4 linked regions of the Nothobranchius furzeri genome follow. The protein of the gene in region 3 interacts with the protein of the main gene of each other region in a biochemical or structural test. Links are inferred from orthologs where the notes say so. Each region holds a gene or a part of one and is shown on either strand. Other genes may lie near its edges.

Region 1 (6,022 bases), on a different chromosome or scaffold from region 3:
CTGTAAGAAAGGCTGAGATGGGTTGAGCTATTTGAATTTGTGAAAATCATCTGGAACCCCCCCCCCCCCCCCCCCCCCCCCCGTGTAAATAAATATTGGTGAACCACAGTGGGGTCCTGACCCCAACTTTGGGAACCACTGCGACCATTGTGCACACACACTGATATTACAATCATTTTGTTGAATATTGTCTTGTGCAGTTTGAGTTTTAATCTTTTTTTACCATTCAAGGCTTGCAGGTCCCTGAGTCTACAGGAATCTGGTCAAAAATGATGGTAATACAGATGTAATACTAACATTTTCTTACTAAAATCAATTTCTGATATACAGATCTAATTTAATCCATGAAACCTGAAGTTTACTAAACTTTGTACCACTTGTACATGTCCATACATGGTCAAAATAAAATGAATGACAATCATGGTACTTTTAATGTCTCTCAAATGTCAAATTTAACTCCAAGCATGCTGCATCGCCAGATAATTGACCATGTTGGTTGGTCTTAAACTATTTATTCATCAAACATCTGCAACTTTACAGATTTGCAAGCAAACATTACTTAATTTTTAAGCAGGGAAGCAAGAAAATATTTTAGTGATAAATAATGCTAAATAAAAAGACAATTACATGAAGGAAAATGTGTTTTATAAAACCTTTTATTAGATTTTTGTTTCAAATGAGGATTTAATAAAATTAAGACAAAAGGTTTAACATTCCTAACAATGTACGCGTTTTATCTACAACATGAATAAATGATAAAGCAAATTTTATGTAACAATTAGATCAACAAACTTGTTTTGATGCATCCACAAGAGGGCAACACAAGCTCACACAAAACATCTGTTCTCATCGTGTCATTGATCTTTATATGAACTGTCTTCTGCAGATGACTTCAGGCTTGCACCTCCACTTGAAAATTATTTTCTTCTATTGAGCAAAGAGTCCCGCATGCAGGGAAGACACCAACTGTTGAACGTAATCCTCTCAGAGCTGCACGGCGGGATTATTAATGTAAAGTACATTTTAAAACTCATATTTAATCAAACTTCTATTTGACAGTTGCGCTGAACTCAGCTGTTCCTGCACAAGAGAGGCGAATTTTATTTAATTTCACATTATTTCACATATTGGTATCTTATAATGCTGACCCCCAAGATCGTAAAAAGGTGTAAAGTTTTCCGTTGACACAGTGTGTGTGTGTGTGTGTGTGTGTGTGTGTGTGTGTGTGTGTGTGTGTGTGTGTGTGTGTGTGTGTGTGTGTGTGTGTGTGTGTGTGTGTGTGTGCGTGCGTGTGTGTGTATAAAGGTCACTGACTCATTGCCAATATACAAAAATGGTGCTAAACTATAACAAACATTATAGTGAATGTGTAATTTTGATCATTATTTTCCCGACAGGACCATGATGGTTGAGTGCCTTGACAGCTGCAGGGCTTGTTTGTGCAGCGCCAGGGTGTTTTAGGGACTTTAAACACCAAGCTTGAGTTTCCGTTGCCCATTCCACACTTCAGTGCAAAGAGGAAAGTCCCAAATTGACCCAGGTAATCAGAACCTTGATGAGGGTGGAGCGAGATAAGATTATAGATGAGGGGGAAGTGCATTTGCAGGACTGTGGCCTCGCCATCATGTAGAAACACTGGCAGGCACAGTCACAAGAAGGGCATCAAAAGTACAGACTGATGAGTCATAGGGGCTGTTATTCTCTCTCAGCTGAGTTTGATACCGCAAAACCCTGCACTGTGAATATGGAAGTCCAATGTTAACAAAAACAGTCCATGTTGTTTGCAGATGAATAAACAAAGATAGGAAATGGTTGTCTTCACAAAAGAGAGTTCTCTTTAGATTAGAAGTGGAAGTAGAGGGATCAACATTCCAGATCAGAAACATGAAGGAAAACATACAAATTGGCAGATTTCAATAGCAGCGCAAGGATTCATGCAAAATTTCTAAAAGGAAGTTAGTTTTCAGTACCTGAAATGGCAGCTCCAGACTGGTATAAATACAGAATTATACATCCATGGGATTGTTTTGTTTATATGTGTCTGCAGTCTGTTTGAATTTTTTTTACAGCTTTAACTCACTTTCAACTGAGGAAACTACATTTTAGATGTGGAGCTCCAGCTGTTTTCTTGTTTTTCTCACCATTCTGCTCTGAACTGCCGATCTACCTGCCTTGACTTCTTGAGAAATTCAACGTTAGGTGCTTTGAACTTTAATGCAAACAGAGCAGGATCTATCAGAAAAGTCAGAAATGCAAAAAAATAAAATAAAATAAAAAATAATAATAATAATCCAAATAAAATAAACACGAATTCAGAGCACTCTTGAACTCCTTTCCTGCTTTACTTGGTCTAATTAAACGCTTCGATCAGACTGTTTCGGTTTAAAACGAAAGTAGAGCCGCTGGTGAGGTGTCAAACAGGCGCTCATGATCAGCAGATGAGCACTGGCGCAGCTCCACTGCGCCACGGTCATGTAGGTGCGCAGGGATACGCACAAGTTTTTTTCTGGATAGTTTTTTTTATCATTATTATCAGTGTTACAGATTTGCATGAACCTGTTATTTTGATAGCGTATTACCTAAATAACACCAGAGGCACAAACAGAATGGTTTGACTTGACAACACTTTTATTGTATTTTAGGATTTACGCACAATCTGTCCTCTTGGATTAGCCTGATTATTCCATCTGAACGTGGGCTGGTTGTCACCTGAAACGTCTCCAGTTGATGCCGAGGATCAGTACCATGAATGTTGATGACCACCAGTCGGTCGCCACTGCGCCGCTGGATTTGAGCACCACTGCGCGAGGGCGTGGGAGGTCTGGGACTCCGGACAGTAACATTTGCTCCCGGGACGCTCCGAGCGGCGGCTCCCCTGCACTTCCAGCGAGCACCGGGACCGACAGCACAGAAACCCGTGCGCCTCGCAAACGGCCAGCGGGCAGCGCGTCTTCCTTAAAGCTTCCCTTCAGGAAACGACCCTTTCCCTTCGAACCTGAGAGCCAGACGCCGTCACCGACTCCAGCAGCGAGCGGAATCCGCTCCTCTCCGGTGGAGGAGCGAGACTTGGGTTCCCTTGTTCGTCTGGGGAGAGCCGGGGGGGATCATGAGCGCAGGGTTGGAGTCGCACCGATGACCATCATCAGGAGGGTGGAGGAGGATGGACAGGGTCCAGATGGATACCCCTACTGCCTTTTCCCTATTTATGATTATGGTAAGAACTTATTTTTGTTCATAATCATGAAAAAAGGTGATTTAGTACAAAATTGCTCTTACTTTAAACATTTTTCGTTACAATTGTATTATTTTAAAGTAAAAGAACTGAGAATATTCCCCCTTAAAAGATCAGATTAAACTAAAATCCCTGGAAATGATCTTGGTTATCAGGTTTCTGTTTTCGATCTTCAGCATTATCAGCATCCATCTCTGTGATTTTACTGGCTTGTGGGTCACATCTCATGTGGTTGGAGAATCAGTGGCACCACACAGCAGCTTAAACTCAGAGAACATCCAGTCAGCTTATCTGCAGCCTTTCATGCTCACCCAGTAGCATATTTCTGGGTCAATGTTACACACTGCAGCACTTTGCTTTAAAAGTACTTGTTTACTCTTTTCTCTGCCTCCTGGCTTTCTTATTCTGACTTGTTTTTCCTGCTCAGGTCACTATCCGGTGTACTACATGCCCCACGTGGTCCCAGAGCCACATCATCCACCAGCCCTTCAACCTGAAAACCTGCTGGCTGAGATTTCTCTGGCTACGCATCAGGATGAAGATGGAGACACGTATGTTGATTCATTCAGAAAAGATCTGCTGTCACGTTTACACGAGAGGTGTTACTGCTAATATCCATCCAGATTTAAGTCACTGATGCTTGCAGAAAACTACACAATGCCACGATTCACCTTCATCAGTCAAGAATTTAAGAAACTGAAGAAGGAAACAGATCAGAGCTTTCATCACTTTAATGCACAGTCCTACTATTTCTAGCAGACTGAGAAGAATCGTAGATCTTGGCCAAAAGTCACAAATATGGTTGAGCTCAACACCTGACCCAAATGCAAATACTCATACCCACTGTAGTGGAAACTTCTATTATTACAAAAATGTATTTATAAGTTGTTTAAACTATAATTCATCACAAATATGTGGAAAATCATCTCAATTGACGAAACTGTGTGGAAATCGCACAAAAAATCCTTTAATAAAAATCTGTAACATTTTAGGAACTAAACTGATCCGTTGCTGTAGTGTTGAAACCTTGATATTTTCCATTTGAGGTGTTTTTCAGTCCAAGACTTTGTTCCTTTTGTTATTTTTCTCAGGCTTATAGCCAACTTCCTTTATTTAGTACCAGGTCTGGACTGCAGGCAGACCATTTTAGCACATGTAAGCCATGCTGCTCCAGCAAACTGCGGCACAAGTTGCATAAGCAAGAACCCACGCATGGTTTAGCATCTTTTTACACCTTTGCTGGTCCTGGGCGTAATCATTTTGCTGAAAGTACCCAAATTCTTTAGCAGATTGCTCATCCCATCATAGTTTTCCATGAAAGAGCTTGAGGACAAAAGTCACACCAAACAGCTGCATCATGTCATCCCAAGAAAGAAAATTATGAAAACCAAGTTGTTGTTTGAATGTTTTTATTGATTTGTGGCTATATTTGCCTTAGGTAATATTTTGTCTTAGGTAATATTAATGCACCAATAATACTAATAATATTCATAAAATCATAAAATAATATGGTAGTATTTCACTTTTTATACTTTTTTCCTCGTCCTACTCCGGAGCATCGCTAAAAACACAAAAAAACAAAGATTTACATGTGACAAGTTTAAATAGAGTGCTGTGCTGTTTGAATGTATAAACTGAACGCCAAGAGAAATCACGTCTTTTTCTGTGAATAAAATAAAAATGTCAGGCAGGAGCGTCTCAGGATCTGTCTGAAATCCGTCTCGGTGAGACAGATAATAGCAATCCAAAGTGCTTTTTATGTGTGATCTGACAATTGATCAACCGTTGCTTAAAAATTAAATACAGCTTAGCCGGTTAATTGCTGTGATCATAAAACACGTAAACGGCAGCACGCAGAAATCACAAGGCAACGTTTTACGTGATGTTTACTTGCTGCTATGAGTAATAAGACAGAAAAAGCCACGCCAAAATAAGTTTAGGAAGCCCACTAAGAATCGTAATAAAAGCATTTAAAATAAATACCAAACACAGTTGAGGAAACGTTGGTTTAACTACCTGATGTGAAGTGGTCGCTGCTTAAGTGAAAACCTTTACTCTCGGGATCCCACAGCTTCATCTTAGCCTGGAGGCTAGCGCGTTTCGTTGCTATGATCCAACGTTTGCAGCGTTCTGGATCTTGGGGAGTCCTGTAGAAGGCTCTTCCCTTATCTCGTCCGCGTCTGCTCCGGCATCCTGGGGCACAACAGGAATCTACCATATTTCCCGTTTGATTGAGTTTTCTGACAATAACAAATAGCCCAGCTGCGGGCTTCTGCCTGCCAAGATGGCGCCGTTTCGATTTGAACTGTTGCATGCCGGCAGAAGTGACGTCAACTCCCGGAGCTCTGTAGTCTCAACACAGAGCCTTCCAACATCATCAACAAAATATTTGATGTTGTGCAATCGGAGAGTAAAATGTTTGGCATTTCTTTCCAGTTTATTTATTTTTATCTCGGTGACTCACCTGGCTCTGACCAGTATCCCTCTCCCACTCCTTTAAAAATCTCCACTGCAGTCTCACTTCCTGTGAGGGAACCTACAGGACACACAGAGACATGCAAACATTTTCACACGTAGGGAGAATTTTGAGTCTTGTGTCGATGCTTTGGTCTGTGGGAGACTCTGGAGAAAGTCACGTGCATGGGGGGGTACATGCTAACTACACACAGAGGTCACCATGCAGACCGTCTTGAGACCACGTGAATGCAAATACTAAACTTTAACACATGGCTAACTCGACCTTGAAATCAGCATTTTGCATCTTCCCACACAGTTGCTGTGATGACAAAC
Region 2 (5,581 bases), on a different chromosome or scaffold from region 3:
CTTGTCTCTTTCCTTTCAGCTGGTTCATGTCCTGAACATGATGTCGGCTAAAATCCTGACGTACAAGGTCGCAGAGGATGAAACTGTGGCCAGCCTGCAGCTGAGGATAGAAAAGGACACGAACATCCCTGCAGCCAATCAGGAGCTGCTGCTGGAGGCGGGGCTGGCGCTGGAGCCTCAGGCTCTGGCCACGCAGTGCGCCATCGATTACACAGTAAGGATATCGGACGTGCAAAGCATGTTTGTCATGATCACACGTTCCACTTCCGAATGAGAGCTGTAGCGTTTGTATCATCGGTCTGCAGGAGATAGATGGACGTCGTACAGATTTACCTCTGGTCTTCCTGTTCGACTGCTCCTCCTGCTCATACGAACCCCAGTTTGCTCCCCGGACTCTTCCTGAAAATATCCGCTTTGTCCGTAAGTACGAAGCCTGTGATGTCAGGAAAAGCCGTGCTCAGTAAATTTTATTTCATTTATTTTCGTGTCAGCTAGCATAAATGAAAAAAATGAGTGTAGAGGCTGAGAACTCCAAACTGACAGGTGTCATAATTAAATATAACAAATGAACTGACAGCTAGGAGACTTATTTTAACACTGTTAAAAGGCGTTCGTGCTAGATCTTTCTCTGAAAGAGTAGCAATGACCATCCTTTCTTTAAAGACGCTTCCGCAGCAGCTTTTCTCGGTTTTATTAACAAACATGGACAGTTTAGGCTGCCACCCCCGCGACCCGACCCCAGGTAAGCGGCTGAAAATGGATGAAGATTCAGACAAAAAGGCTTCATGTTGAGGTGAAGCGTGTCAACGTGAGACACACCCAGAGCACTTGATTAGTTATTGTGACCCATGTTGGCATTATCCAACAACCAATGGGTCAGCTCCTCCGGGTAAATCTTGAGGTGTTCCCTGGCCAGCCGAGAGACATGGTCCTTCCAGTGTGTCCTGGGTCTTCCTTTAGGTCTCCTTCCGGTTGGACGAGCCCGAAAAACCTCCCCAAGGAGGCGTCCAGGAGGCATCCTAACTAGATGCCTGAGCCACCTCAACTGGCTCCTCTCGGAGTGAAGGAGCAGTGGATTTACTCCGATCGCCTCCTGAATGACCGAGCTTCCCACCCTATCTCTAAGAGCCCAGCCACCCTGCAGAGAAAACTCGTTTTGGCTGCTTGCATCTGCGATCTCGTTCTGTCAGAACCCAAAGCTAGTGACCGTAGGTGTGGGTAGGAACAGAGATTGACCACTACTACTCCCGCATCACTGCACCAATCCGCTTACTGATCTTGCGCTCCATTTTTCCCTCACTCGTTAACAAGACCCCAAGATACTCCTCCACTTGAGGCAGGACCTCGTCCCTCGCCTGGAGAAGGCATTTGACCCTTTTCCAACTCAAGATCACATTCTGATGAAGCCAACAGGACCACATCATCTGCAAACAACACCTCGACTGCGCCTGGAAATCCTGTCCATAAAGGTCATGAACAGAATCAGTGACAAAGGGCAGCCTTGGCGGAGTCCAACTCTCACTGGAAACGAGCCCGGCTTACTGCCGGCAATGCTGACCAAGCTGTGACACCGGTCATACAGGGACCTAACAGCCCGTATCAGAGGGCCTGGTACCCCATACTCCCGGAGTGTCCCCCACAGGGCCCCCCGAGGGACGCGGTCAAACGCCTTCTCCAAATCCACAAAACACATGTAGACTGGTTAGGGTTAGGCCACCAATCCGCCTATCGATATCACGCTCCAGTTTTCCCTCACTCGTGAACAAGACCCCGGGCAGGACCTCATCCCTGACCCGGAGAAGGAATTCGACCCTTTTCCGAATCAAGACCATGGTCTCAGATTTAGAGGAGCTGATTCTCATCCCAGCTGCTTCACACTCTGCTGCGAACCGCTCCAGCGAAAGCTGAAGATCACGTTCTGATGAAGCCAACAGGACCACATCATCTGCAAAAAGCAGAGACCTGATCCTCAGGCCACCAAAACGGATCTCCACACCTTGGCTGCACCTAGAAATCCTGTCCATAAAGGTTATGAACAGAATCGGTGACAAAGGGCAGCCTTGGCGGAGTCCAACTCTCACTGGGAACGAGCCCAACTTACTGCCGGCAATGCAGACCAAGCTCTGACACCGGTCATACAGGGACCTAACAGCCCGTATCAGAGGGCCTGGTACCCCATACTCCCGGAGTACCCCCCACAGGGCCCCCCGAGGGACGCGGTCAAACGCCTTCTCCAAATCCACGAAACACATGTAGACTGGTTGGGCAAATTCCCACGCACCCTCCAGGATCCCCCTAAGGGTATAGAGCTGGTCCAGTGGTCCACGGCCAGGACGAAAACCACATTTTTCCTCCTGGATCTGAGGTTCAACAATCCGACGGACCCTCCGCTCCACAACATCTGAATAGACCTTACCAGTGAGCCTCAGGAGGGTGTTGTCTGGGTTAGGGTTAGAAGAATAAATCATTCCTTTCCCTACTCAAAGGTTGTGTTGATATTGAACAAAATAGTTTTGATAATGATTTCTTAATAACCAAGCAGCTCCGATTCTGTGTTATTTTTAGTTATAAACATACACCAATACCGTGTTTTTCTCTCTTTTTCTCATAGAAACCGACCCGAAGCATCTCCTCCCATACAGCAATCTGAGGAGGACATGCGGTCAGGCATGGCACACCATCCGCTCTCTAAAGGAAGACTGGCAAAGGCTGCAGCAGGGCCAGAAAGCTGCCCTGTATGACCTAGACACTACATTAGTACACACGTGCACTTGTTTGACAAAAATAAGAAAACAGAAACACCTCCTGCTTCTTTCAGCATGAGCCTGCTGAGACACAACTCGTCACTGTCCAAGCAGAAGAATGAGATGGTGTCCATGTACCAGAGACTCACGGCCAAGCAGGAGTTCTTCAGCACCAGCCTTCACGTCGACATGGACAAATATCAGGAGCAGACATCCACGGGGATAGGTGCACAACCGAAATATTTGTGACTTAAAAGACAAATTTAGTACGAATTCTGTGCCTCTGACTAATGTTTTTTATGTTTGAAGCATCAGAGAAACTTCTGGGTGTTTGGAGGGAAATGGAGCAAACTGCCATCAGTTGTAGTAAGGTAGGTTTTGAGTGTATTGAGTGTGTGTGTGTGTTTGTAAAGAGTTCCCTTTAAAAGACTTGGATGTGTGTGCGTGTGCGTGTGTGCGTGCGTGCGTGTGTGAAGGCCAAAGTGGTGGAACTGGAGGAGGAGATGATGAAGCTGCAGCCAGACATCGTTGATGTGCAGAGGCAGCCATGGAGGAGTGGAGAGACCTTGGAGACACTGTAAGTCTACATCATAATATAGATATAGATGTATAGAAATAGAAGTTAAAGAAGTAACTGCCGTTTGAGGTCACATTTCCTCCTTTTGATCCACAGTGAAGGCAAAGCCATGGAGCTGTTCCGCAATCTCAGAGAGAAACCCAGAGGTTTGGACTTTTTTTGGGGGGGGGGGGGGGGGGGGGGGCTCATCGTGGTGCCTTGCATGTGAGAACAAACCTCATCTGACATCATTTTGGTTTTCCTTCCTCAGAACAGAGATGTCCTGGAGACAGCCAGGAGTTGGTGCGTCTGGTATTACAGGCCGTGCAGTTCTACGAGAGGAAGCTGAAAGATTTCTACACACACCTCAGGTACTCCCTCACGAGCATGCCAGGTTTTATGCAAATCAGTTCTCTGATCCTTTTCAGCTTAGAGCAGCAGAGAAGCGTTCCTGATTAGTTACACTTTTGATTTTTTCCAGCTTACAGAGGCGAAAATGCTAAAGGAGGTAAAAAGTTGATAATTTTTTGTGTTGCAGTCATTTGAAAGGTTTTGAACTTTTTAAAATAAGTTTTGAATGTGAAGCGTTCCTTAAAGAGTGTAACAGCCTTTCACATTTAATTTTTATTAGTTGTTTTTTTATTTGACTGTTTGACCCCATCTAGCGGTGAACTACAGAGGGAACAATTGTTCTGGTTTTTGGTTCCGCCTGACCGTTTTTTGTGTTGCACTCGCGCTGAACTCACATGTTGCAGCTGCTCATTAATTAATTCCACTTGTAAGAGAAAGAAATTGCAATAAAGAGAAGACATAATCGAGGAAGGAGATAGAGAAGATGATACTAAGACTATAAAGGACTATTTAGACCCTTATGGATGTCTCGTCCCGGGAACTCCAAAAAGGGTGGGTACTCTGAACTGATATTTGGCCCATAAGCACAAACAACAGTCAGAACCTGTTCCCCGACCCGAAGGCGCAGGGAAGCTACCCTCTCATCCCCCGGGGTAAACCCCAACACACAGGCAGAGAGTCTTGGGGCTAACAAAAAGCCAGCCCCAGCCCTCCGCCTCTCACCCGGAGCAACTCCAGCAAAGTAGAGTGTCCAACCCCTCTCCAGGTCTCGGGTTCCAGAGCCAATGCTATGTGTCGAGGTGAGTCCGACTATATCTAGCCGGTACCGCTCACCCTCTGCCACAAGCTCCTGCTCCTTCCCCGCCAGCGAGGTGACGTTCCATGTCCCAAAAACCAGGTTTCTTGTCCGGGGATCAGACCGCCAAGGCTCCCGCCTTGGTCTGCCACCCGATCCACATTGCACCGGACCCTTCATGTTCCTCCTGCGGGTGTTGGGTCCACAGTTGGATGAGCCCATGTATCCGGTTCGGGCTGGGCCCGGCCGGGCCCCATGGGCGAAAGCCCGGCCACCAGGCGCTCGCTCACGGGCCCCAACCCCAGGCCTGGCTCCAGGGTGGGACCCCGGTAACCCTCCGGGACGGGTACTCAGACTCTTTGAATTTACTTCCATGAAAGATCCTCTGAACCGTTCTTTGTCTCACCCTTCACCTGAGACCCATTTGTCCTGGGAGACCCTACCAGGGGCACTAAGTGCCCCAGACAACATGGCTCCTAGGATCATTAGGGCACTCAAACCCCTCCACCACGATAAGGTGACAGTTTCCTTCTTTTCTTTTTTCTTTTCTTTACTTTCTTTCTTTTCTCTTTTCGTTTCTGTCTTTTCATTTTTCTTTTCTTTCTTTTCTTTTCTTTTTTCTTCTCTTTTCTCTTCTTTTTTCTTTATTTTCTCTTTTCTTTTCTTTTCTTGCTGCCATTTTAAGGCCATCCAATCCTGTTATATTTTTCAGCTGATCTGCAGCAGATTTTCCTATTCAGAGCTTGGTCACATCATAATTATTATGTGTGTGTGTGTGTGTGTGTGTGTGTGTGTGTGTGTGTGTGTGTGTGTGTGTGTGTGTGTGTGTGTCTTCTGCAGTAAGACAGCCGTGTGCCGTCGCCGTGTGATGGAGCTGCTGCCGAAGGTGGAGGGCGTGGTCCAGGAGATGGTGGAGAACGAACAAGTCCTGATGAGTTTGCAGGAGAGGCGGCAGAAAGAGTTGTGGAACCTGCTCAAAGTCGCCTGTGTGAGGAAAAGCAAAAAAGTGCTCCATCTTCAGACAGAACGCCTGTGAAACAGATAAGTGTGTTGAATAATTTTGTCTTTTCTAGAGCAAAGTTCGGAGCCCAGTGAGCGGCAGTCCTGATGGACTTCGAACCTCCTCATCGGTCC
Region 3 (6,233 bases):
AGTGATGGGAATAACGCTGTTTAAAATAACCACGTTAATAAATAAAAATGTTTCTTTCTGTAACGAGCAAACTAATTAATTACCGTCTTCTTTTAAGAAAACAATCGTTTCTGTTACTGAAGGAAATGTATGCGTTAAGCAGTGCGGTGTGTTGAAGCGGTCATCAGCTGATCAGGAGCTAAAGAGGTAGATGTTTTTTTCATCCAAGCGCATCACGGCCCGTGAAGAACGAGGAAGTCGTGATGAATATCTACGGCTGCAGACCCCTGACAGATTTGTTGCTGCAGCAGTGAATCTGCAACGAATCTGCGGGTGTGCAGCCGTGCCCTAGCGTGACAGAGGGACGTCCCGAAGGTCCGCTCACCTGTTCACCGATCAGACCTCCTGACATGGACGTAATTTTCAATTTATAAGTGGGGGGGACGGGGTGTATCTTTACAGTATGCTCTAATGGGAAACAGGCTTCAACACAAACGGTTGTTTTCTGCTTGGTCCTAGAGCTCAACCAGTGTCAATTTAACATAGCGTAATATTGTTTTTGGATGGTAAAAAGTGCAGGGGTCAAAACTTAACTTTGGAAAAAGGGGGGGGGGGGCATGTCCCCCTTGTCCCCCCCCAAAATTACGTCCATGCCTCCTAATCTTCTACCTTCCTAGATCATCCAGCTGTAACCTGTTTCTGATCATGTCTTTAGTCCCGCTGTAACACTGATGCATCAGTCTCACACGTCATGGAGCTCAAGTGTTATTAGAACTACCTGTGTGTGTTTACCACCCAGCTTCAGCTCTTCTGTGGTTGGGTCTGACCCAAGTTAGTAAATGTAAGTCCTCCATCAGGCTTGTGCCTGTTCTAGTGTCATTTTAAAGGATTTTATTTATTTATTTAACCATTAATAGATGTGAAGCTGGAAAAATTAAAATGCTGTGCAAAATTGCATTCATTTCTGTAATTTAACTAGACTGAGAAACCATTTAAAGGCTCAGGAACCTTTACAGGTGTTTCTATTTGCAATTTTAAATTTTAGCTGATTGGGGTCTTGTTAAATATCACACAGTGACCTTTTAATAGTCTAGATAAGTGTAATGTTCCTGTTAGTATTTCCTCCTGTTAAGTGCTTATTTATTTAAATTATTCAGGTTTATAAAAAACATTTGGACATACATTTTATTATGTTCCAGTCATTAGTCATTTATATTTCACTAGTGTAGTAATTCTTGCATGCTTTAATGAAAAAAGTAACTAAGTAGTTATTTTTCTTGGTAATTAGTTACTTTCACAATCTTGTAACTCAGTTAGTAACTGAGTTACGTTTTTGACAAACTAATCAGTAACTATAACTAATTACTTTTTTAATGTAACGTTCCCAACACTGTTGACAATACGATGGATCCTCCTCACCAGAACCCCTGAATAGACCTTACCAGGGAGGCTCAGAAGTCTGATACCCCTGTAGTTGGAACCATGGATGTAGTTTTGGTGGGGGACATGGTCCCCTGCACTTTTAACTGTCCAAATACAATATTACGCTATAAATGGACTCTGGTTGAGCACTAGCATGAAGTGGAAAACAACCGCTTGTGTTGAAGCCTGTTTCCCATTAGAATGTCCATACGCTCATCTATTGGCTATGCTGATACTTGCTAACATGTGATTGGCCGTTCCTGCCACCTGTGTACTCAACAGTTCAGCATTTCTGACATTGCATAAAAGAGCCTCTAGGCTGTAGTTCTTTACATATTTTTGTATACTTAACTGTAAGGATACCTGGTTGACCCCGCCCCCCCCCCCCCCCCACACACACACACACACACACTTCTAAAGTCAAAACTACATCCATGGTTGGAACACACCCTGCGTTCCCCCTTTTACTGCCAATGCAGTGAAACTGACCCGATGTCCACGCGATACTATTATAAAAGCAGAAAGAAAAGAGCCAGGGTCCGGTTAAAGTCCGGACTAAAAAAACCACAGGCAGAGAGCTGAATGTCTGCAAACATCAATAAAATGAATCAATATAAGAAAATAGTAGATCAAAACAACTTTAGCACCATGGGTGACACATTACTCGTTGCTTCTAGATGTTTGGTTTGGCTTTTATGAAATGGTGACACAAATAGCGAAGCTAAAACGTCATAAAGTGGACTTTGTGTGACGACCCGTTTTTGTCGTCAGGGTGAGCCATCTTCTTTTCTCACCTCTCTGCTGGAGCTCTACGTCACAGGGAATTTCCAGTAGGGAAGGAAATCAAGTCACTTTATTCTGACAAACTTGTCACCTGTTGGATTTCATTTGGGCCTAATCTGCGTGGATTAAAAACTGGCCGTGGCTCCAGACCCTTAAAATGTTGTCTGGCTGAAGCGAGGCTGTAAGTGGGTCCGCGGGTTCGGCATGGCGAACAAATAACGAGTCAACTGGAGTGAAGCGGGACGAGTCACACTCATGGTCACACTTCATGCTACCGACTTCCACCTGATCGAGTAAACCAGGTAAAAGCCTGCTACCGACACACGAACCGCGTAAACCCGGACTCTGGCCCGTTTAGTCGGACTCGAGGTCCGAACTTCTCCCTAGACCGTTACGGTGTTCTACGGCTCTGACGGACTGCTTTGTTATGCTACTTACTTCCTCATCAGCCAGGTAACTTTGACGAGGTGTCGTGAAGGGATTACTTTTATAACTCACGATCCCCTAAAATAGATTAAGTGTTTTTCAGAACACATTCTTTGTCACCCCACGACAAATTCGGCCTGTTCATTGCACAAATTGTATGTTTGCTTCAATCTGTTTGTATTTTGAACTGAACTTTGCCCGCTCTTATTTGTGGTAACGTACAACAAAATGCTTAATAGAGGTTGAAAATGAGAAATTATGAAATTGTTAAACTTGCCGATTTTTAGGGCATGATTAGCCAATTGGTTTGGTTATAAAAATAACAATGTAAAATGTATTCCTAACATGAATTTGAAGTGTTTCTGACACGTTAGATTTTCAAATGGACCTTGGCATAACATTCTCCGCATAAGGAACCAAACCTACAGGGCTCGTTCCGGTGGGGCAGCGGGGACTGATAGCTTAGCTGCACCGACAGGACCGAAGGACACGCAGCAACTCTGTCAGCCAAGAGCTCCACTACTGTCACCGCAGCGGAGCCGCTGGCTGGTTGTAACGGCTTGGTTTTTACCGGACTCTATAAGCTTAAACAACAGGAGTCCGGTGGCGGTGATAAGCTGTTAGCTAGGAAGCTAACTGACACGCGCGTTCACAAGAGCCGCGGAGCGCGCGCGGCATTAACGAGCATCAGAAAGAAAGAATAAACTGCCAAAACAGTGCTGGAAAATACGTGTTTTCTTTTAGACACAGATTAACGCATATGTTTTCAATGTGCGAACTATTACAAACACCGTTTTATCAAATCGGAAATTGTTAAGACAACAATTTTCAGTTTACCTTTGAGACATTAAAAAAATAAAAAAAAAATAAATCGTGCGATAAAATAATGCTTTACATCACAGTTTCTAAATAAATGACTTTACACATATTTTAAATGCATTCGCCTGTAACTGTAATCAGTAATGAAATGTTTCTGCTCATCATTTAAGCAACTGGTGGAAAAAAAAGACCTTTAGGATCGTTGGCGTTTAAATGATTTATAGTAGCTGATTCTGCTTCCTGTTCCAGGTTTTGCTCAGTAGTTCATTACATTTAGATAACATTTGCCTAATAGTTGATCACCATTAATGATAAAATAATGAACATGAGTTTTGCAGCTCTTTAGCTTGCTGTGATGTTTAACGAAGTAGCAGGAAGTTTGGCAGCTTTTACATGGTTCAACTTGAACATGCGCTGCACTTTAGTTTATATTTATTTGAACAAAGACAATACATTAAAGCAATGTGACAGTTGATGGATTTGCAAACTCAGGTTTTTGTTGGGCTTTTAAAGTAAAAAAAAAAACAACTTATAAAAAGATGTTGTTAATGAACTATTTGCAGAAGTGCCATCTTTGTTATGTTTTAGTAAAGAAGGCTGGTTTGTGGTCCATGTATATTATAAAACTGTTGACTTGATATTGTTTTTTACTTTTGCAGACACAATGGCAGGAGACGACCCCTTCCTTCATCCATCCAACCAGGTAAACTCACCTGCAGCTCATTCCATTACCATGATGATCTAGGGCAGTGGTTCCCAACCTTTTTCCCAAGGGAGCCCTTTTTTACCAGTAAAATTTTTGACGACCCCCTCCCATTCTCTCTTCCAGTACAAACAGTATTAAGAAATGATCAAATTGTTCAAGCACATTTGAATATGCTTTGATTCAATAGATAACAGTAATAGTAGGCTCCAGTACAGAACAAAGTCATTAACAAAACCAAACAGAGCATAATGTGCTTGACAGTTTGTATTACTTTTCTGAACACATTGTTTCTTGTAAACACTGATAAATCAATCATTCATTTCAATAAACGTTTGACACATAAAAAATACACTGAGCAAAATGTACTTAAATGTGTATATTACTGTTTGTACTAGATTATTTACTGTAAAGGCTGTGATTAATCAACCAGTCGTATCTTTAATGAACTTTTGACACTTGAAAATAAAACAGTGAGCTGAGCAAAATGTTCTTAAAAGTGTGTTACTTTTTCTGTACTAATTATTTCCTGTCTTAATATCAGTAAACTTTTCACTCATGAAAAAAATGTGAGCAAAATGTAGGCTATAAACAAGTAATAAATTAAGTTTTAACCCCTTAAAGTGGAGAGGTCCTGGTGACCCACTGAGAGGCTTTGGCGCCCCCTTGTGGGGGTCGGGACCCCCAGGTTAGGAACCACTGGGTTCACTCTCTGTTACACTCTACACTCTCTGTGATACAAATCCTCCACCTTCATCCTGAAAACTTCAACTTTCATCTCAACATAGTCTGCAAGGAAATCTGGCTTCATAGTCCAACCTTCAGATGTTTGTGCGAGACTCAGAACAAACAAAGCTGTGAATAAAACAGTTTTTTTATTTTAATGCTAAGAAGTAGCTTGTTGCTGCAGCATCGTTAATTGTGCTGGGTTATGGAGATATTTTATATATGAATGCTTCTGCTAAACGTCTTCCATCGGTTGAAACTTTGTGATTTCTTTTGTAACTTTACTTGTTGCTTGCTGCTGCCTTTCTTGGCCAGGTCTCCCTTGAAATAGATTTTTAATCTCAATGTTTTTCTTTCTGGTTAAATTGAGGTTAAACAAAAACAGAAGATGAAATTTAGAATTCAATCTTTTCAGTTGCTAATGTATATATGTCAGAAGAACAGATTCATATAAACTATTTACTGTAGATTAACTTGACCGTTAGCAGATCCAGCAGATTTAAAATTACAAATGTGTGTGTGTGAGTCTGTAAGTAAATTTTATTTATATAGCACTTATCACAGACATAGAATCACAAAGTGCTTCATATAGATCAAAACAAAATAAAACCGTCTTAAAATCATAATGATCTCAAAACAAATAGATCAACATCAGAAAAAATAGTCATAAAATTATAAAGTTTCATAAAATGATTAAAGATTAAAAATTTGAGTTAAAAATAAGAAAATAAAAGGTTTAGGTATAAGCTGCTTTAAATAAGTGTCTTCAACTGATTTTTAAAGGTGTCCAGACTGTCAATGCCCATTAGGACAGTGGGAGGGATAAGGATAAAGGAAGATCATTCCAAAGTCGGGGTGCAACAGTCTGGAAGGACCGGATCACCTCGACTTTTATATCTGGTTTTTGGAACTTATAGAACAGGGGTTTTAAACTCAAATTCACACTGGGCCGAAATGAAAATCTGGGACGAAGTCGCGGGCCAAGCTTAATATTTTTTGAAAAAGTGATGGCAAATTTTCATTTTCTTTATTGACATATATGCAATTTAAAACCTTTAAAATTGGAAACAAACATATTTTTGCATTAACACTGAATGTGGAATAACCAAACTACACACAAGCAAGTAAATTTTAAATAAAACGCAAGCAAATAAATTTTAAATAAAACACATCAGTGGTATTCATTACTTGTGGTATATTCAGCATTTTTAAAATCTATTCATGATTTATGTTTTCTTGTTTGTTCATTTTTCTTTTTTATTCTCCTTTTTTTCTCCTGTAATAAGTGTCCTCACTGCTGTGACATCTAGCTTTCCCCACTGAGGAACGATAAAGGGATTTTCTATTCTTTTCATCTATCTGCAGCCAGAAAAAG
Region 4 (5,581 bases), on a different chromosome or scaffold from region 3:
TTCTTTAATATAAATCCCATGTTAACTGTACTATTATTCTTGAGTGTTCTGTATTATAAACTTCAATAAACATAATGTTAAAAAAAAAAAAAAAGAGTCGCCTCAAGGCACTTCACAAAGTAAGCATTCCAATACAGGTCAGGTCATTAAGCCAATCAGTAAAAATGTTCCTGTATAAGGAACCCAGCAGGTTGCATCGAGTCACTGACTAGTGTCAGAGTCTTTACAGCAATCCTCATACTAAGCAAGCATTTAGCGCCAGTGGAGAGGAAAACTCCCTTTTAACAGGAAGAAACCTCCAGAGGATCCTGGTTCAGTATAAGCAGCCACCCGCCATGACTCACTGAGCTGTGGTGGCCTCATGGAGGGGGCGGCCATCGGCTGGCACACTTGACTGAAATCAGGTGTGTTCAAACACAGGGTTAAAACTAAAACCTGCTGGATACTGGCCCTCCAGGCCCGGATTTGAATACCCTGATATGAGGGAAAATAGCAGGGGACCTAAGATGGATCCCTGAGGGACTCCTCATCTTACAGGAGAGGCAGAGGACAAGAAATGACTTAAATTAACTGACATGCTTCGACCTGACAGATAAGATTTGAACCACTCCAGATCAGTACCTCTGATTCCAACCCACTGGTCAACTTGGAAATTGCGATATTATGATCGATGGTGTCAAATGCAGCAGATAGAACCAGGAGCATAAGGATGACAAAAAATTGGTAGCCATTAAAATGTCATTATAGACCTTTAATAGTGCTGTTCCTGTACTATGATGGGTTTTAAAACCAGATTAAAATACTTTGTGTACACCAAGCCTGTCCAAAATTGCAGGAGGAAGGTTTCTTCAGCAGAAAATTTACTGTAACATGTGTCAGCTGTGTTGGAACAACACCCGACTCCAGGCTGCTGTTTGCTATGAGGAAAACTCTTGTGGCAACAGATGTTGATACCCTCTTCAAAAAACCCAGCAGGAAGTACATCAGTGTGGTAGTGTGGCATTTTCAGTTTACTCACAATTTTGTCAAGTTGACCTATAGTAACTGGCTCAGAAAGGCAAGACTAGCGGGAGGCAGAAGTGTGAAGTGAAAGTAGTTCTACATTTTGTGGAAGTTGGTCAAATTCTGAGCATCAAACACAAGACAAACAGGAAGTGTTGTCAAAGGGGCTTTCTGCACCAAACGAGCTAATCTTTAGAGCCAATATGTGAGAGCAGGTCAGCCGGTGGCCCTTGAGGCTGAGCAGTAAACATTTCTTTGGAACTCACTTTAGCTTCTCTCAGCTGGAAATTCCACTTTGATCTTCCACATTATTTCTTCTCTCGGCAGCTCAGAGTTTTCTCAGGCTCCACCTCTTTTTCTATACAAACGTGTCTCCTCTGGGACTTTCCACCAGCAGCCCAACGTGCACACACACACACATGCACTTGCATGTGCGTACACTTGGAAAACAACAAGGACAACAGGTGGTAGAAGAGAAACATCAACACTCTGGTGGATTAATCTTCCTCTTTCTCACAGACTGAAGCGGAGAACGGTTGCTCTGCTGCAACAGCTCTGGTCTCAAATCATTTATACTGCTGACTAGATCAGTGGTGGCTCATCCATAGGGGGCGATAGGGTGCCACCCCACCAGTCTCAGAGGAAGAAGAAGAACATAGGAATAAAAAAATATAAATGCATATTAAAAAACAAACCATGAAAATAAACTAAAATAAAAAATGTTATTTACACTTAACACTATCGAATTGTGTTGTGACGTATTTCCTGTTACTTTTGGGCGCAGCAATCACTACCACAGTCACATGCTAACTGGTGCATGTGCGCTGGACCCCCCCTCCAATACAAAGAATAGGAGAGCCTTTGGGCGCAGGTTTACAGCGCCTGTGACGACACACGCAAAAGACCGGCAGCGCAGTACAAGCTCAGGTCAGGACAAAACCAGAAATTCTATACAGTTCACCATCCTGTGCTGTTGTTGAGCAGCTGAGTACACTTCGTGGAGTTTTTTTATTATGAAGAACCAGAAAATGATGGAATGTGGTATCAGAGACTTTTGAACACTCTCCTGCATGTGTAAAGGTGGAATATTTTTACGATAACATGGATTATTACAACCTTAAACCAGCAAATGTAAGACTGAGTTCATGCTTTTAACTCCATGAAATTAGCTTTGTTTGTTTTTTATGCTAAATTTGCTAATACTGGTGAATATTAAGCATGTTTTTGGAACAGTTTTGCTTTCACTGGTCTGTTGGTGTGACGCAAAAGAATGGTGACTTAGCATTACCTGGTGGTGATACGCAGATAGCGCATCAGAGTCCTCACAACTGCAAATTTCAGACTTAATTATGAGAATTATGAGCAATGAGGCTATTTTTATTACATTCATAACATGAACACTTTTCTAATCCGTGTTTCTCCCGAAAACCTTTTGTTTTTGACTAGAAAAATTATGAAATAATGATTAAATATTTACAATTTTGACATGTTTTATTTAAACACATTAGAGACTTATGTTTAGTGAGTTTTTTTTCTTTTTCTTTTCTGCCTGCTTGAATTTTGCTGTTGGTTTAAAAAAAACAAGAATGTGATTTGAAATAACGCATTTTTAAAAGATTATTTTTTTTCTAATAAACTATCACTTTTTTAATTTATCTGCCCATAAACCATCATTTTGTAAGGAAGAAAATGGATAAGAAAGATGTTAATAGTGCATATTTATTTAATAAACCTCATTATTCATATGCACCTTCCCACAACAGGCCATGCAAATGTGGGCTGGCATGCTGTTTTCAGCACAGCACTTGTTAAATTTTGCCCCATCCAAAAAGACTTTCACCAGCCGCCACTTAAGACTATTTTGAAAAAAAAAACAAAAAAACTCAAAGGAAGTGCAGAAACAAGACTACTGACTGCTGTTGAACACACGAACACATGCACGTGAACAAACCCTCAACACCATCAAGAAGTGAAACCGTGACTGGGGTTTCTCACCTCTGTTCCTCTGAGGTCTCTAGGAATGTAGATGTCCTCTGTCATCTGAACCGTCAGGCCGAAGTCCACCAGCACCGCCTTGTCTGACATCAGGACGATGTTACTGGCTGAGAGTAAAGAGAACACTCAGACGTAGAGACGAGCAGACGTTTGACAGTACTTAGGGCCTTTACTTGGCTCTGCAGACAGCTTTGTTCAGTTCGTTTGCACGTGTCGAGTTGAACTGGAGGTGATGTCAGGTACGTCACATGATGCATCAGGAAGTTAAACGATAAGCTGTGTGTGTGTGTGTGTGTGTGTGTGTGTGTGTGTGGTGTGTGTGTGTGTGTGTGTGTGTGTGTGTGTGTGTGTGTGTGTGTGTGTGTGTGTGTGTGTGTGTGTGTGTGTGTGTGTGTGTGTGTGTGTGTGTGTGTGTGTGTGTGTGTGTGTGTGTGCTATCAAAGCCAGTTGGAATTTCCAGACAACCAGGCCTCAGTGCTCAGAAGCAGACAGGCCCGTGAGAGGAATCTCATGTTGTTGTTTACAGAACGGTTTTTGTGTGTGACCGAAACAAACATGCCAACTTTTCCTCCCGTAACACACCCTGTATGATGGATTTATGTATTTCCCGCTAGCAAGAACTCAACTATGACTTGACTTTGAAGTCTAAGGACATTACATGCTGCTGGGCTGTTTGCACATCAACAGTTCAACAGGAGACATGTCTTCCCTCCCTTCTCTTACGTTTGATGTCGTGATGGATGACATTGTGGGAGTGCAGATACTCCAGGCCCCGCAGGACTTGCTTTGCCACCCAGATGATCTCAAACTCTCTCATGGGTCCGCAGCTGTCCACCTTCTCCAACACCGATCCCCCTTCACCTGCTTCCATGAACAGGTGGACGTTGTGGTCCCAGAACATGGCACCATAAAGCTCTGCAATGTTCTCGTGGCGGAAGCGGGCCTGGAACTCCACGTCGGCTGCTTTAAAGTTTTCTATTGGAATCTGTCAGGAGGAGATTTAGGAGATAATGAGCCCATAAAGCAAGGTGACCTACACGCTGCACTTTAAATTCTATAAATAAATGTAGTTTTTTAATCCAAATCTATTTGTGGACTATTGTTAACATACCAACTGTTTAGTAATCAGTTTTATTTTATTAACGTTAAAGTCCCATTAGTCGTCATCCACGGGTGGAACTTGTTCTATGCATTTAACCAATCCCCTGGGGGCGCTCAGGAACCACACGGTGGTTTAATTATTACCCAATTCCATGGACATAAAACAGTAATACAGGATAAAACGGGCCTTTGCTAACGTAGCTCATCCACCAGCAGGCAGCAGATATGCTTAGGACTGACATGGCAGGTTTCTGATAAACTATCCTGATGCTTTAAGGCCACGAGTGGTTTGATGTGTATTTGTGATGATTTGAAACCAAAGTCACATGATCACAAATACTTTGTTCTAAACAGCGTTTCCTGAGTAGGCGCCTCAGGCCAGCTCATCAGATCTGATGCGCTGTTGGAAGTCCTTTAGGTAGCTAACAAGCTTTTGATTTACCCTTTAGTCACACAGACCTGCAATGCCTTCACATTCAACTTTGCAAAAACGAACTTTAAAAGGATTTTGCAATATTGACAATTTCTAGCTAGGAAACTTCCCTGTTTGATCTTCCACGAAGTACGCACATGCACACACACACACACACACACACACACACACACACACACACACACGCACACATTGTTGAAAAAAATAAGTGATTTGTGAATACATGTACAGAAATCTAAAGAGCAGCTGCAGGAAGGTTTTATTTCTGTTCTTGCGTGAGAGGAACACGTCCTTTTAAGGGCACTCGGTCCTGTTCCTCTAGTGAATGTGACTCACAGCATCCGCACAATCCTGGAAGTAGCTGTGTCAATAAAAAGCTGCTTCTGGCGGCATAGAGAAATACACGATAGGGCTGCTCGATTATGGCAAAAATAATAATCACGATTATTGTGACTGAAATTGAGATCTCGATTATTTAGGACGATTTTTCAATTTATGTTGATTTTATTTGTTTTTATTCAGCCATAAAATTGCTCAGGGCACAATCAGGACAAAAATAAATAAGAAACAAGATGATCACTAAAATAACTCCTGATTCCCAGTATAAACAGACCAATATACTTATAGCTCATAGTCTATGACCCAAGGGCTATAGACCTTGGTTTAACTCATTTAAGTCTAACCAGTACAGACCCAAATACCAATATCCTGCAAATACTGACAGTAAGAATTATACAGTGGCATTTATAACAAATACATGCAAATAAATTGATGTTCACAAAATCTTGCATAACATTTACTGAGTCATCTCAAGGTGCTGTAGGAGAGTGCACTAGCACCGTGTCCTCAGAGAGATTAGTTATTAGTTATCAGCGTGAGGAACTTGTTTCTACCTTATTTATAAACTATTTATTTACAATCCATCAGTTAATGTAATAATTGTCCCAACCACAGCTGCACCCCCCACCCCCCAACCCGGTCTCAGCCATCGGGGCAAGCTGCACGTGTGTTTAGCACGCCGTACACCAGGGGCGTGTCCAGGGAGTGGCC

The links.
Region 1: the proteins of nfkb1 (region 3) and bcl3 form a complex in vitro, tested with the Homo sapiens proteins (2 studies listed by BioGRID). The link is inferred for Nothobranchius furzeri from reciprocal best matches to the Homo sapiens genes NFKB1 and BCL3.
Region 2: of the proteins of nfkb1 (region 3) and ikbkb, one has a biochemical effect on the other in vitro, tested with the Homo sapiens proteins (4 studies listed by BioGRID and IntAct). The link is inferred for Nothobranchius furzeri from reciprocal best matches to the Homo sapiens genes NFKB1 and IKBKB.
Region 4: the proteins of nfkb1 (region 3) and map3k8 form a complex in vitro, tested with the Homo sapiens proteins (2 studies listed by BioGRID and IntAct, with this or other methods). The link is inferred for Nothobranchius furzeri from reciprocal best matches to the Homo sapiens genes NFKB1 and MAP3K8.

The regions. Positions count from the first base shown.
Region 1 is NC_091745.1:75,995,320-76,001,341, forward strand, and holds the start of bcl3 (B-cell lymphoma 3 protein homolog), read left to right. Parts: upstream 1-2,394; 5' UTR 2,395-2,727; coding exon 2,728-3,214; intron 3,215-3,659; coding exon 3,660-3,783; intron 3,784-6,022. UniProt on the Homo sapiens protein: Contributes to the regulation of transcriptional activation of NF-kappa-B target genes. In the cytoplasm, inhibits the nuclear translocation of the NF-kappa-B p50 subunit.
Region 2 is NC_091757.1:55,646,810-55,652,390, reverse strand, and holds part of ikbkb (inhibitor of nuclear factor kappa-B kinase subunit beta), read left to right. Parts: intron 1-19; coding exon 20-214; intron 215-305; coding exon 306-420; intron 421-2,611; coding exon 2,612-2,735; intron 2,736-2,818; coding exon 2,819-2,970; intron 2,971-3,053; coding exon 3,054-3,115; intron 3,116-3,220; coding exon 3,221-3,321; intron 3,322-3,417; coding exon 3,418-3,467; intron 3,468-3,571; coding exon 3,572-3,671; intron 3,672-5,287; coding exon 5,288-5,435; intron 5,436-5,520; coding exon 5,521-5,581.
Region 3 is NC_091741.1:65,342,450-65,348,682, reverse strand, and holds the start of nfkb1 (nuclear factor NF-kappa-B p105 subunit), read left to right. Parts: upstream 1-2,220; 5' UTR 2,221-2,486; intron 2,487-2,494; exon of another isoform or gene 2,495-2,637; intron 2,638-4,088; 5' UTR 4,089-4,093; coding exon 4,094-4,132; intron 4,133-6,233.
Region 4 is NC_091747.1:30,275,113-30,280,693, forward strand, and holds part of map3k8 (mitogen-activated protein kinase kinase kinase 8), read right to left. Parts: intron 3,983-5,581; coding exon 3,721-3,982; intron 3,105-3,720; coding exon 2,998-3,104; intron 1-2,997.